Linked DNA regions of Oryctolagus cuniculus. Each later gene encodes a partner of the first gene's protein in a complex. Links are inferred from orthologs where the notes say so. Each region holds a gene or a part of one and is shown on either strand. Other genes may lie near its edges.

What was found.
Region 2: the proteins of SERPINC1 (region 1) and F9 are in contact, whole or in part, in a crystal structure (PDB 3KCG), measured with the Homo sapiens proteins. The link is inferred for Oryctolagus cuniculus from reciprocal best matches to the Homo sapiens genes SERPINC1 and F9. Residues at the interface, in NP_000479.1 of Homo sapiens: Glu264, Asn265, Arg267, Glu269, Met283, Met284, Tyr285, Glu287, Met347, Val349, His351, Val420, Val421, Ile422, Ala423, Gly424, Arg425, Ser426, Leu427, Asn428, Pro429, Asn430, Arg431; in NP_000124.1 of Homo sapiens: Lys247, Val248, Asp249, Ala250, Phe251, Cys252, His267, Cys268, Glu270, Glu285, Tyr312, Arg358, Phe360, Lys362, Gly363, Arg364, Ser365, Leu367, Lys387, Phe388, Asp405, Ser406, Cys407, Gln408, Gly409, Asp410, Ile429, Ser430, Trp431, Gly432.

What each region holds. Positions count from the first base shown.
Region 1 is NC_091438.1:2,334,268-2,341,418, forward strand, and holds the start of SERPINC1 (antithrombin-III), read right to left. Parts: upstream 4,867-7,151; 5' UTR 4,750-4,866; coding exon 4,709-4,749; intron 1,577-4,708; coding exon 1,207-1,576; intron 1-1,206. UniProt on the Homo sapiens protein: Most important serine protease inhibitor in plasma that regulates the blood coagulation cascade. AT-III inhibits thrombin, matriptase-3/TMPRSS7, as well as factors IXa, Xa and XIa. Its inhibitory activity is greatly enhanced in the presence of heparin.
Region 2 is NC_091453.1:117,822,390-117,828,881, reverse strand, and holds part of F9 (coagulation factor IX), read right to left. Parts: intron 4,452-6,492; coding exon 4,323-4,451; intron 2,317-4,322; coding exon 2,111-2,316; intron 1-2,110. UniProt on the Homo sapiens protein: Factor IX is a vitamin K-dependent plasma protein that participates in the intrinsic pathway of blood coagulation by converting factor X to its active form in the presence of Ca(2+) ions, phospholipids, and factor VIIIa.

The DNA of each region.
Region 1 (7,151 bases):
ACCTTCTTTCTTGAAGTCTCCTAGGGTGCACATCAGCAGGAAGCTAGGACTGGACGTGGAGCCAGGACTTGAACCCAAGCACTCCAGTGAAAGAGGCAGCATCCAAAGCAGTGTCTTAACCACTACCCCAAATGCCCACCCCTAAGTTAGAAGGAACAAGAATCTTCAGCATGAGACACAGCGCTTATTGAAGACACGAAAGTCTGTGGCTCTTAGGAGTGTTTACCCCTCCTCTAGTGGCCAATTGCCAATGAACTTCGTTGTTCTCTTTAGCCCTCTGTAATGAGTTACCCCAAGCTTTCACGCAACTAAAGAAATCATAGCTTTAAACGCCCTAGGGAGGGGGATGGGCCACTCTGAAATCCACTTCCTGCTAATGCAGACCTGGGAGGTGGCAGTGGTGGCCCAAGCAATGGAATTTCTGCCACCCACATGAGAAACCTGAGTTGGGTTCCCAGCTCCTGGCTTTGCCTGCCCTAGCCCTGGCTACTGTGGGCATGGAAGGAGTAAACCAGCAACTGCGAGCTCTGTGCCTGGCACAGAGATGCTGAATACAAACGTATACATGATCAAATAAACAAACGCAGAAATGAAAGAATGATTAAGAAAGTTTAAGAAGGCCGGTGCCACGGCTCACTTGGCTAATCCTCTGCCTGCAGCGCTAGCACACCGGTTCTAGTCCCGGTTGGGGCGCCGGATTCTGTCCCGGTTGCCCCTCTTCCAGGCCAGCTCTCTGCTGTGGCCAGGGAGTGCAGTGGAAGATGGCCCAAGTGCTTGGGCCCTGCACCCCATGGGAGACCAGGAGAAGCACCTGGCTCCTGGCTTTGGATCAGCGCGGTGCACCAGCCATAGCGGCCCTTTGGGGGGTGAACCAACGGCAAAGGAAGACCTTTCTCTCTGTCTCTCTCTCTCTCACTGTCTAACTCTGCCTGTCAAAAAAAAAAAAAAAAAAAAGAAGAAGAAGTTGAAGAGACACAGGCCTCCCCCCATTTGAAAATAGCCCAAAAGAGGACACTCAGATTTATAAAGAGACATTCCTTGCCTAATTTAAAAAAAGAAAAAAAAGCTTTTCAAAGGAAATCATGTGAAGTGACGATTCAAAGGAAAGCACAGCCCGTACTGAGCTCCTTTTGGTTCAGCAGTCATTGACCTATGGGAGCCCCGAAATGCTCCCAGCACGAGGCGGCCGAGGGCTTTGGAAGATACCTCCATCAGCTGCTTGAGGGTATCGTTACAGGCACCTAGCTTGGTCATCGCAAAAGCCGTAGAGATGCTCAGGGGTGACAGGAAAATGTTGTCATTGTCCTTCTTGGCGTCTGCCAGGTGCTTATAGAAGATGGTGGCGAAGCGGGAATTGGCCTTGGATAGTTCCCAGACCCGACGATTGGTGGCCTCAGGGATCTTCAGTTCTGACCCCTCATCCTCCGTTGCCTTCTTCTCTGGGGAACGGTAAATGCACATGGGGTTCAGAGGGAAGTCCCGGGGCTTGGCCGTGCAGATGTCCTCCACAGGGCTCTCGTGACAAGCCACACGGCCCCAGAGGCCAACGAGCAGCAAGGAGAGAAGACATACCTTCCTACAAGGAGACAGAATGCTGAATTAGGCTAGGCTGGGGGACCCCCGATCTAATGGTCAGCTACAGGCTTGCCTCAGTAGAGCACACGGTCCCAGCCCATGTGATGTGACCAGGAGGAAGGTCAAAGCCTCAGAACCAAGTAAAAGAGGCCAGGACAACTCTCTGCAAATGGGTAGTCCTACTTGCCTGGATAGACTCAGGTTGGGAATAGAATCCACAGCTTAATCAACCAATGCTAAAGGGCCCACACTGGGAGAAATTAAGAATGCAAAGCTTGGGGCCAGCGACACTGCAGCACAGCAGGTTGAGTCATGGCCCGCAGCTCCGATGTCCCATATGGGCAACAGTTCAAGTCCTGGCTACTCTACTTCCTATCCAGTTCCCTGCTAATGAGCCTGGGGAAGCAGCGGAAGATGATCCAGGTCCTTGGGCCTCTGCACCCACGTGGAAGACCCAGAAGAAGCTCCTGGCTCCGGCTTTGGCCGGTCATTGTGGCCATTTAGAAAGTGAACCTATGGATGGAAGATCTATCACTCACTCTATGGCCGCCGCCTTCTTCTTTTTTAAATATTTTATTTGTTTACTTGAAAGTCAGATTTACAGAGAGGCAGAGGCAGAGAGAGAGGTCTTCCATCCGCTGGTTCACTCCCCAGATGGCCGCAATGGCCAGAGCTGTGCCGATCCAAAGCCAGGAGCCAGGAGCTTCTTCCGGGTCTCCCACGTGGGTACAGGGCCCAAGCACTTGGGCCATCTTCCACTGCTTTCCCAGGCCACAGCAGAGAGCTGGACAGGAAGAGGAGCAGCCAGTACTTGATGGCACCCATATGAGATGCCAGCACAGTAGGCGGCGGCTTTATCCACTACACCACAGTGCCAGCCCCTCTTTGTCCTTCTGTCTCTGTAACTCTGCCTTTCAAATAAATAAGTAAATCTTTAAAAAAAAAAAAAAAAGAATGCAAAGATTTCCATTTATGACAGGGAACACACAGGAGAAAATAGGCTGGGAACTTCAGTGCTTAATGAAGAGTTAGGGATAGCCGGCACCGCAGCTCACTAGGCTAATCCTCTGCCTGTGGCACCGGCACCCCGGGTTCTAGTCTTGGTTGGAGCGCCGGATTCTGTCGCGGTTGCTCCTTTTCCAGTCCGGCTCTCTGCTGTGGCCCAGGAGTGCAGTGGAGGATGGCCCAAGTGCTTGGGCCCTGCACCCCATGGGAGACCAGGAGAAGCACCTGGCTCCTGGCTTTGGATCAGCAGGGTGCGCTGGCCGCAGTGGCCATTGGGGGGTGAACTAATAGAAAAGGAAGACACCTTTCTCTCTGTCCACTCTGCCTGTCCAAAAAAAAAAAAAAAAAAAAAAAGAGTTAGGGCAGTAGGGGGAGCCACTTACAGAAGCTGTTTAGGGAAGGCCCCACTCATCAATAATGGAATTTAGCTGGATCTTAAAGGACAGGAAGAAATTTGATCGAAGCAGCCAAGAGATTTCAGCAATAGGAGGGGTAAGGAGGAAAGGGGCAGGAGCATCTGTGTGTTGAAGGCACCCAATCCCTGGCTCCAGCCCTGATCTCCTGCAGAGCTCCCCACAGTTGCTGGAGACTTGCCCTGGGGGCCTGCAGAAGGCGTGTTTCTCTCGCACCCACCTGCTTCTCCTTCACACGCTCCAGCTCAGGCATGGGACCCTCCTGGACCCTGGCCTTCTCACCTGATTGACCCCAGGTGCCACTCACTGCACGCTTGCTCCTTCCCAGTTGCTGCCACTACGTAGTTCAGAACCTCGTCCTTTGTTGTTTTCTGGAATTTTCAATAGCTTCATTTTCAATAGCAATATGAAACTCATCTTGTAAAAAATGAGCTAGTGAGACTAGCAGTTAAGAAGTAGGACTCAGTAAAGCACACCAAGAGACAGTCTCTGGTAGAAAACACGTGGGCTGGGAGCTTCCTCCCGCTGGTGTGGGTCCCTGGGGCATTTGAGGACTGAATCTGGAAAATCTCTCTCTCTGCCTTTCAAACAAGCAAATAAATAAAACAAGAAAAAGGCACGCAGCGCAGACAGGACTCACTGAAGCGTCTCCTGGGCGGGCGTGGGGCCACCTGGAGCCTGGGTGCAGTCAGGGGGCTTTCTCCCGGCAGGGTCCGAGGCCAGCCCCGCGCCTCATAGCAGGTGCAGGGTGGTAGGCAGCAGGAAGCAGCGAGAGAGTGGGAGGACCCTTCCCTGCCTCCCCTGAGTGTGTTTTGTTTCTCGTTTTGTCTTAAGCTACATTAGAAATGGGGGGGGGGGGCACCCGGGAGCTCTGTTAAAGACCAAGAGAAGGCCGGCGCCACGGCTCACTAGGCTAATCCTCCGCCTTGTGGCGCCGGCACACCAGGTTCTAGTTCCGGTCAGGGCACCGGATTCTGTCCCGGTTGCCCCTCTTCCAGGCCAGCTCTCTGCTGTGGCCAGGGAGTGCAGTGGAGGATGGCCCAAGTGCTTGGGCCCTGCACCCCATGGGAGACCAGGAGAAGCACCTGGCTCCTGGCTTCAGATCAGCGTGGTGTGCTGGCTGCGGCGGCCATTGGAGGGTGAACCAACAGCAAAGGAAGACCTTTCTCTCTGTCTCTCTCTCTCTCTCTCTCACTGTCCACTCTGCCTGTCAAAAAAAAAAAAAAAAAAAAAAAAAAACAGGACCAAGAGAAACCAAGCTGCTGGAGCTGACGTTTCACTTCAACGTCTCAGGAAACCAGACCAAGACAGGGGAGGGAGGAGTCCCACGGCGGAGAGGGCACCCGGCTTGGCCCTCTTGTCGAAGGTCACTGGGATCTTGGGCAGGGGGCAAGCAGGCGGAAGGAGGAGCAAAGGGAGTTAGGAGGCCCTCGCGTGTTCAACTCGCCCTCGCCGCCCTCCCGTTGGAAGGCAGGCAGGCCCTGGAATCCCCCAGGGGGCGGACCAAGCATGCTCTGCACGGCATCTTCACGGGAAGGAAGAGGCCCTCTCAAGGCCCGGCCGAGAGCCTAAGGTGTGGCTAAGGGAGGGGCGGGGAGGCGGCAGGGGGCCTTGAACCGGCTTCCGACCACTCTTGGAGGGCGAGCCCCAGCGAGAGGGGCCGGGGTCAGCCTCCGTGTGAGGGCCGCAGGCCGAGGGAAGCCTCGCCCTCTTACCTCTTAGCAGCCGCTCGGGTTCCTGCCCCGCTGGAATACATGGTCGCCACGCGTCCCGGGCTGCGCAGGTGGAGACAGTGTCGCTGAGGCACTCTCTGAAAACTGGTTCTTTGCTCTAAAGCTCCCTGAGGTTCCAGAGGCCGGGAGGGGGGAGGGGCGGGCCAGGAGGGGAGGGCTGAGGTCAAAGGCTGATGACCAGTTCCCAGGGTTAAGCAAAGTGCAGCGCCCAGTGCTGTTTACTTGGCCGAGAAGTTGGGGTAGGCCCGGACTAGCCCGGCCTAGGACGTGGGGCCCATCTCTGCCTGCGCAACCCCGCTCTCCTCCCGCCTTTATAGACAAGGAGACGGAGAACATCCTCGGGAATTAACGCTTGGTCAGAAAATACCTGCCTGTGGAGAAGTTTGACCGCGGGATTACCGCAGCCTGCAGTGCCAGCATCCCATATGGGCACCAGTTCGAGTCCCGGCTGCTCCACTTCCGATCCAGCGCTCTGCTATGGCCTGGGAAAGCAGTGGAAGATGGCCCAAGTGCTTGGGCCCCTGCACCCGCGTGGGAGACCACTACTGGCTCCTGGCTCCTGGCTTCAGCTCAGCTCTGAATCTGGAGCGTGAGCCAGCAGAGGGGAGACACCCCCCCAAACACACACACCTGTGTAACTCTTTGAAATAAATAAATTTTTCTTAATTGTATTGATTTGAGAGACAGAGAGAGCGAGATCCTATCCACTCTTTCATTTCTCAAGTGCCCACAAAATCCATGGCCAAAACAGAATTGAGAATACTGTCTAGGTCTCCCATGTGGGCAGCTGAACCCAATCGCTGCTGCCTCCCGGGGTCTGCATTAGCAGAAAGGCAGAGCTGAGAGCCAGAGCTGGGTGCACTGATATGGGATGTAGTCATTGCAACCAGCGTCCTAACTGCTAGGCAAAGCACCTGCCCCGGTTTCAGTTTTCCTTATGGAGAGTGAGCCAGTGAGAGAGGAGAGAAGAGGTACTGAGACCATCATACTTAACCAAAGGGGAAAAAGACGAACAAGCTGCTACCTTCAGGTTCTGAGAGCCAAGGTGTCCCTAGACCAGACCAACACCCACCAAGGTCACACCTGTGGCTCACAGATGGCCCCATTCCCCACTCAACACCCACCACGGTCACACCTGTGGCTCACAGATGGCCCCATTCCCCACTCAGCCCTGAAGTGATGGGAGGCAGACACAGGAGCAAGGGCCCCAAGGTGCGTGCCAAGCGTGTTTCTACCGAGGAATGATGCTCCAAGATTTTAACCAAAATAAACTTATCTTTTACTTCCATTTTCCATGGAATTTTTGAAGCACTCTTGTATATATACAAATACAGTTGTTTTTCCACACTGTTTGAAAATAAGTTGCAAAGATAATGCCCCTTTATCCCTATATAATGTTAAGTTAAAAACAGTCCCTTGTATGGTTCCAATACAGTGATCAAAGAATGGAAATTGACATTGACATTGTTTTAAAATATAATACTATTTTCTTTAAAAAAAAAAAAAAAAGAGCGCTACCGTACCCTTCAGTCTTTTTTTATTATTTTTTGACAGGCAGAGTGGACAGTGAGAGAGAGAGAGAGAGAGACAGAGAGAAAGGTCTTCCTTTTGCCGTTGGTTCACCCTCCAATGGCTGCCGGGGCCGGCGCACCGCGCTGATTCGATGGCAGGAACCAGGTACTTCTCCTGGTCTCCCATGGGGTGCAGGGCCCAAGCACTTGGGCCATCCTCCACTGCCCTCCCGGGCCACAGCAGAGAGCTGGCCTGGAAGAGGGGCAACCAGGACAGAATCCGGCGCCCCGACCGGGACTAGAACCCGGTGTGCCGGTGCCGCTAGGTGGAGGATTAGCCTAGTGAGCTGCGGCGCCGGCCTTAAAATATAATACTATTTTCAAATCTATGAACCTTATTCTAATTTTCCCAATCATCCCTTTGTTTTTATAGCTGTAGTTTCAAACTTCTTGGTATCAAAATCCATTTATATAGTCTTGTCAAACAACATTTAAATATCATTAGTACAATTAAAATAGTTTTGGGACTGCCATTGTGGTATAGCAGGTTAAGCCACCACTTGTGACATATTAGTGCCAGTTAGAGTCCTAGTTGCTCCACTCTGATCCAGCTCCCTGCTACTATTCCTGGGAAGATGGCTTCAGTGCTTGGGCCTCTGCCACCCACATGGGAGCTCCCAGATGGAATTCCAGGCTCTTGGCTGTTGCAGCCATTTGCAGAATGAACGAGTAGATCGTAGATATATCCTTCCTGTAACTCTGCCTTTCAAATAAATAAATCTTAAAAATAAAGAATTAATTGGGCCGGTGCTGTGGCTCAGTGGGTTGACGCCCTGACCTGGGGCTCTGGCATCCCATATGGGCGCTGGTTCTAGTCCCGGCTGCTCCTCTTCCGATCCAGCTCTCTGCTATGG
Region 2 (6,492 bases), on another chromosome or scaffold:
TATAATGAGATATGTGATTGTTAAAGAGAATTGAAAGCATAATTAGGGTAGCTGTACCCAAGAAAAATTACTCAAGGAAACATTGATGGAAAATGTCAGTCTTACAAAGGGTTGTTGATGAGTAAATATAGATAAGTGAAAGAAATAGTTAATGGTGGATGAAGGAAGAAGTGCTGGTGGGATATGCTCAAGTAGGGATTGAAGGGATGTAAAGTGACATACAGTGTATTGTGTTGGCTGTAAGAGCCAACCAACATTGCTTTTTAAAGAAGGCAAAAGTAAAGGAAAGGAAAATACAAAACTTTGGTTGTGATGTTTGGCTACTCTTCTATACCATTCTCTACAATGTCTATTTGAGTCCTTCATGGCCCCTCCATCCCCAGATATATGTTCCATATCTTATATCCATCATAATGGAAAATGACAGGAATTATGAAGGAACCTGGATAGATACATAACTGATCTCAGAAAATTCCACTGTGACCTCAGGACATTCACCTGATCTTGTTACCCATTTGATGATTGCAGAGTCTGTAAAGTTGAGTCTCTTATGATGAAAATTCAAACCCCAGTAGAGAGAATACTTTGGAGTGAAGCATCCTTGAAATGACTACCAAATTAAGTTGCCCGGCAATATTATGAGCACTAATAGAAATTTCTGAATTGATGGAAGTGCTCTGCCCTGTCCAATACAGTATCCAGTAGCACGTGTGGCCATTATGCTGTGAACTGTGGCAGATGTGATTGAGGAATTGAATTTTTCATTATACTTAATTATAGTTAAGCTAAATTTCAGTGGTTATACATGGCTAGTGGCTACCTTATTGGACAGTACAGCATAATATAAAGACCTGCCTGGCTTCTTATTGGAAGAGGGGTCCTAGTTTCACAGATAGAATCACTTAGGCATTAACTGTGGGCTCAATTATAACCCAGGTTTTGCTAGAAGTGTGCTCTTGCTTGTAACATCAAAAATGTGCATAGATAATTCTGTACCTGTGGATGTCTGCAGACTACACTTGGAGGACTAGGTACCATGAATCCATGAGTATATTTTTTGTTTTGTTTTGGACCCTGACTTTTTTTTAACAGGTTTGTTTCTTTGGACCAGGGGTTTTCAAACTGGAGCATACATCAGAACCTCTTGGAGAGCTTGTTTGCCTGCAGAGTGCTAGGTTTCACTCCCAGAGATTCTGATTCAGTAGATCTGGAGTAAAGCATGAATATTTGCATTCCTGACAACTTCCAGGTGATGCTGATGCTGCCACATTGAAATGGACTTTTTGGATATGACTGTTGTTTTTAGCCCTTGTTTATACTGCTGTGGAACTATGGTCTTCCTGCTTTTTGCTTGTTGAATATTATGGTTGGTGATGTATTAAGCCTGTGATTATGGAGTGGATTGAAGGCATGCCTTTACAAAAATTGAAGAAAGAATTGAAAGGGGAGAGTATTGAAGAAGAGAGAGAAGAGAGGAGGGAATTATGGTTGTCTTCTTGGAACAGTACCTATGAAATACATGAAATCTGTTCTCTTTGTATTAATAAAAATTAAAAAGAACCACAGACACAAGTGTTGAATTATCACATCATATCTTACAAATATGTGCTATTAAAAGTTAAAAAGAAAAATAAAACCTTAGCTGTAGAACAAGCCCCTATCCCATATCCTGGTTCTGTGCACCTAGTTCTTGCCTTACTTCTGCCTACTCAAGTCTTTATGTCCTTTCAAAATACTTCAGCATCTCTGGAGCTATAGACTTTCTAACTTTTACCAGTTTTTCCAGGGACTGAAGCTGAAGTAGTACCCAGAACCCTAGCTCTTGTGACCTCACTTCCAACTCTCCCAATTGCTGACCAGCTGCTTGTCTGCAATCCTATGTTATTTTCTTTATGCCCAGTTCTTCTTAATTTCATATAAGATCTGTACCTGAATTTCTCTTTCACCAGCTGCACACTTGTGGAGGTGTTCTCATATTGTTTAGTGCTGAACTTTTCCTAAATACTTTTCTCACCTCATAGGGTTGTCTAGTGTCCTAGCCTCAGTCGCCCACCAGGCCTGTCCCTTGCCAGCTGAGCTCCAGTTTTGAGATACCATCAGCAGAGAGTACCTGCCACGGAAATTGACCCGGTTTTGCATTTTCTCCACCAACAATCCGAGTGAAGTCATCAGATGATTGGGCATCTTGAGTGACATTACCCCGAATGGTTTCAGCTTCAGTAAAATTTTCATACTCCGTATTGGAAAAAATTGTCGTAGCACGGGTGATTTTCTTAGAAGCATGTGAAACAGAAACTCTTCCACATGGAAATGGCACTGGAAAAGTAGAAAAATAGTTAGTATTCTGAGATTTCTCATTGGCAAGTAGAAGATGAGTTACAAAAATTGAGAATGAGACCCATCCTTATCACTTCTGAGAAGCAGAAGCAGACCCATAGATATATTTTTAAAATCTAATAAATAAATATTGTCTCAAATTAGAAGGTTGCTTGCATTTTTTTTGTGGAAAGTTTTCAAACCCTTCCTAAAAAGAACATTTGGCTCAGGGATCCATCATCTTTATGGAAATAGAGTAGGTGTTCCAGAATTAAATTGGGTAAGACTTTTATAGAGTATACTGACTTTCTGTTTAGTTTCTTTACTAAAACGTCTTACTCTTAAGTGCCATCCCTGAATGGAAATCTAACTTTGCAATTATGTAATTGGGAATTCTGCTCTTTATCATTAATAGGATTTCTTTTGTAGATTAGAATGCTTTCTAGATCCCAAGGTGGATTTTAGGAATTTGTTTGAAAGATATCATTATAATTCAATTACCTGGCTGTCAAATATTAACCAAATAGATTACTAAAGATTATCATAGCCACATATACTTGGTGTCTGGCCACCCTTTTCCACTGGGTTAATTTATTTTCTAAAAAAAATAAATCGTGTACTGATATGCTGGGGACAACCAGAATGGAAATTTGTAGTCAAACAAAGTCACCTAACATTTCATTTTCATTTCTGACTTTCCTTCTAGCCATGTTCCTTATAACAGGCATTTCTATAGCAACCAGCTGCGGCAAAGTATCATGAAGACAGCATGTGGTTGGGAAAACAGGAAATTAGTTCAAAATACTTATGTATAAATGTACATGATCAACAATGGGCTAGAGAAAAGGGACCGTTATTGAAAAGACAGAAAAGCTTATTTTATGTTTGGCCTACTTATTCTGTTAAAGCTAAGGCTGTATTCAAATATTACACTTAATAGTAGGAGATGGTTTTCAATTCTTTTTCTCTCTTACAACATAGAAGGGCTTGTAAGGGTTTAGTGTCTATACTATCTGTCTGGACTAGAAGTTGGACTTTCATGTTAAAGACACACACACTCCTTCTAAGAGAGGCTAGTTTTAAGGCATGTGAAAACAAATCAGAAGGAGAGGAAAGCAGGTTCTGAAACATTGGAGACTCTTCATTTTAGTTGCAGCATGTATGCACCGGGCTTCTGGTCCTTTCTTTAATATCTTCTGCCTGGTGCACTGTCAAGATATGCATTGAACCCAGTTTCAGAGGAATGGTGCATGATTTAATGTGCCAATTTAGTAAGATATCAGGCTTTGCTAATGCAAAAATTTATATCTAGTTAGCTTCAAAAAGTTCATTTATCAAATATAATTGATCCTGCAGAGTCCACTTTTTAAAAAATCAGTTTCTATTGCTTTTGTCTTCAGAAAAGAATAGTATGAGTGTGGGGTACCGAATATATAAATCTGCTGTCAACATGGTAGCATGGTTGACATGACTGGAAAACATTACTTTTTTCCCTGCTGTATGGATTGTGTTGATCAATCTAGAAAACTTGAAGAAGTTAGTTGCTAGAACCACTGAGACTAAGTGTGTAAACTTAGCTTGAGACCTAGGCGTAGGAAAAAACTTCCTAAAAGTAAACTAGCTTGGCCCTGTTAGAACCATGCTTAAAATTCACCATCCTTGTACTAGAAATCTATCACTATGTGTGTATCTTTGATGGTGTAGTAGTGCATTTTTACATTAGTTTGACTTAGTGAATTTTAAATACTTGTACAAAAATCAAACCAATTGCTTTGTGACATGAAAGAAAAAAATGGATGAAAATAAGAGTCTACACTGGAGATAATTACAGGATTTAAATTTAAAACAATGCAATTTGGAAACTCATTTGTATAATTCAGGCTACTGATCTTTTCATTGATATCAAGTGTAAGTAGACACAAGTAGAGATTAAAATTATGTAGGATACTTAAATTGTCGAAGGTCCAAATATAGATTTTCTTTAAAATACTTATTTTGATTTTGACCTGCTGGTTCACAAGACTTCTGGTTTTCCGCAAGTCGGTATCCCTCAGTACAGGAGCAGATAATCTTGTTATTACGATTCTTTCTACAAAACTGCTCACATCTGCCATTCTTAATGCTGCAAGTTGAATCTAAAAGAAAGTAACACAAAGAGTAATAACATCATGTAGCATTCATTTCAAACATGTACATGAAACTACTTATTCATGAATAGGTCAAGTGTACCCTGGGGGCATTTGTGGTGAAAAACTTGGAAGCCTTGAGCTAAGAGTGAAAAGAAATGTAAAATCCTTTCACTTTACTTTCACTGAATCATGACCTGCAATTAAACAACCTTATTGAAGTATAATACACATTCAGAAAAGTACATACTAAAGTTCCCATAAAGTAAATGTACCCATCTAGAAATTAAAAAGAATTATATGAAACATTATTAACATCCCAGAAGCTCTCCTAATGCCCCCTCCCAATCACTCTTCCCTTCTTCCTTTTCAAAGGTTACCATTAACTGGACTTCTGACACAGTGAACTGTTTTGCCATTCATGAACTCACAATAGATACTCCTCTGTCTTTCATTTCTCTTTTTGTCTTTAAGATTCATCCATGTTTTTGTATAACAGTAGTTCATTTACATTGCTGTGTAGTATTCCATTGTCTTAATATTAAAACATCAATCTATTTGGGACATTTCCATTTTTTTTGGAGCTTATGTATACTGTAATGAACATTCTTGTACATTATTTTTGGCAACGTAAGCATGCAGTTTTACTGGACTTACAAGCAAAATTATTCAACTTATGTTCAGGCCTAGTAGATACTGCCAAGCAATTTTCTAAAATGATTTTATAAATTAAAATTCCCACCATTAGTGTATGAGAGTTTCAGTTATTATATATATGTATTGCAAATAACTTCGTATATTTTGTGACTTGCCTTTTCTCTTTAAATAGTGTCTTTTACTGAAGAAAAGTTCTTGGTTTAAATATAGTCCAGTTTATTAATCTTTTTGTGGCAATTGCCTTTTGTATTGTTTAAGAGAATTTTACTTCCCTCAAGGTAAAAATATAAGGCTTTATTGTTTTATATATTTAAATCTTTAGTCCACTTGGGATTGATTTATGGTTTATAGTGTGAAGTAGGGGGCCAGATTCAGTTTTCTCCATATGAATATCTTATTGATATATCACTATATTTTTTTAAACTTTTGTTTAATGAATATAAATTTCCAAAGTACAGCTTATGGATTACAATGGCTTCCCCCTGCCCATAACTTCCCTCCCACCCGCAACCCTCCCCTTTCCTGCTCCCTCTCCCCTTCCATTCACATCAAGATTCATTTTCAATTCTCTTTATATGCAGAAGATCAGTTTAGTATATATTAAGTAAAGATTTCAACAGTTTGCACCCACATAGAAACACAAAGTGAAAAATACTGTTTGAGTACTAGTTATAGCATTAAATCACAATGTACAGCACATTAAGGACAGAGATCCTACATGAGGAGTAAGTGCACAGTGACTCCTGTTGTTGACTTAACAAATTGACACTCTTGTTTATGGCATCAGTAATCGCCCTAGGCTCTTGTCATGAGCTGCCAAGGCTATGGAAGCCCCCTGAGTTCGCCGACTCTGATCATATTTAGACAAGGTCGTAGTCAAAGTGGAAGTTCTCTCCTCCCTTCAGAGAAAGGTACTTCCTTCTTTGATGACCTGTTCTTTCCACTGGGATCTCACTCGCAGAGATCTTTCATTTAGGTGTTGTTGTTGTTGTTTTTTTTTTTTTTGCCAGAGTGTCTTGGCTTTCCATGCCTAAAATACTCTCATGGGCTTTTCAGCCGGATCTGCATGCCTTAAGGGCCGATTCTGAGGCCAGAGTGCTGTTTAGGACATCTGCCATTCTATGAATCTGCTGTGTATCCCGCTTTCCATGTTGGATCGTTCTCTCCCTTTTTTGTTCTATCAGCTAGTATTTGCAGACACTATTCTTGTTTATGTGATCCCTTTGGCTCTTAGTCCTATCATTATGATCAATTGTGAACAGAAATTGATCACTGGGACTAGTGAGATGGCATTGGTACATGCCACCTTGATGGGATTGAATTGGAATCCCCTGGTATGTTTCTAACTCTACTGTTTGGGGCAAGTCAGCTTGAGCATGTCCTGAATTGCACA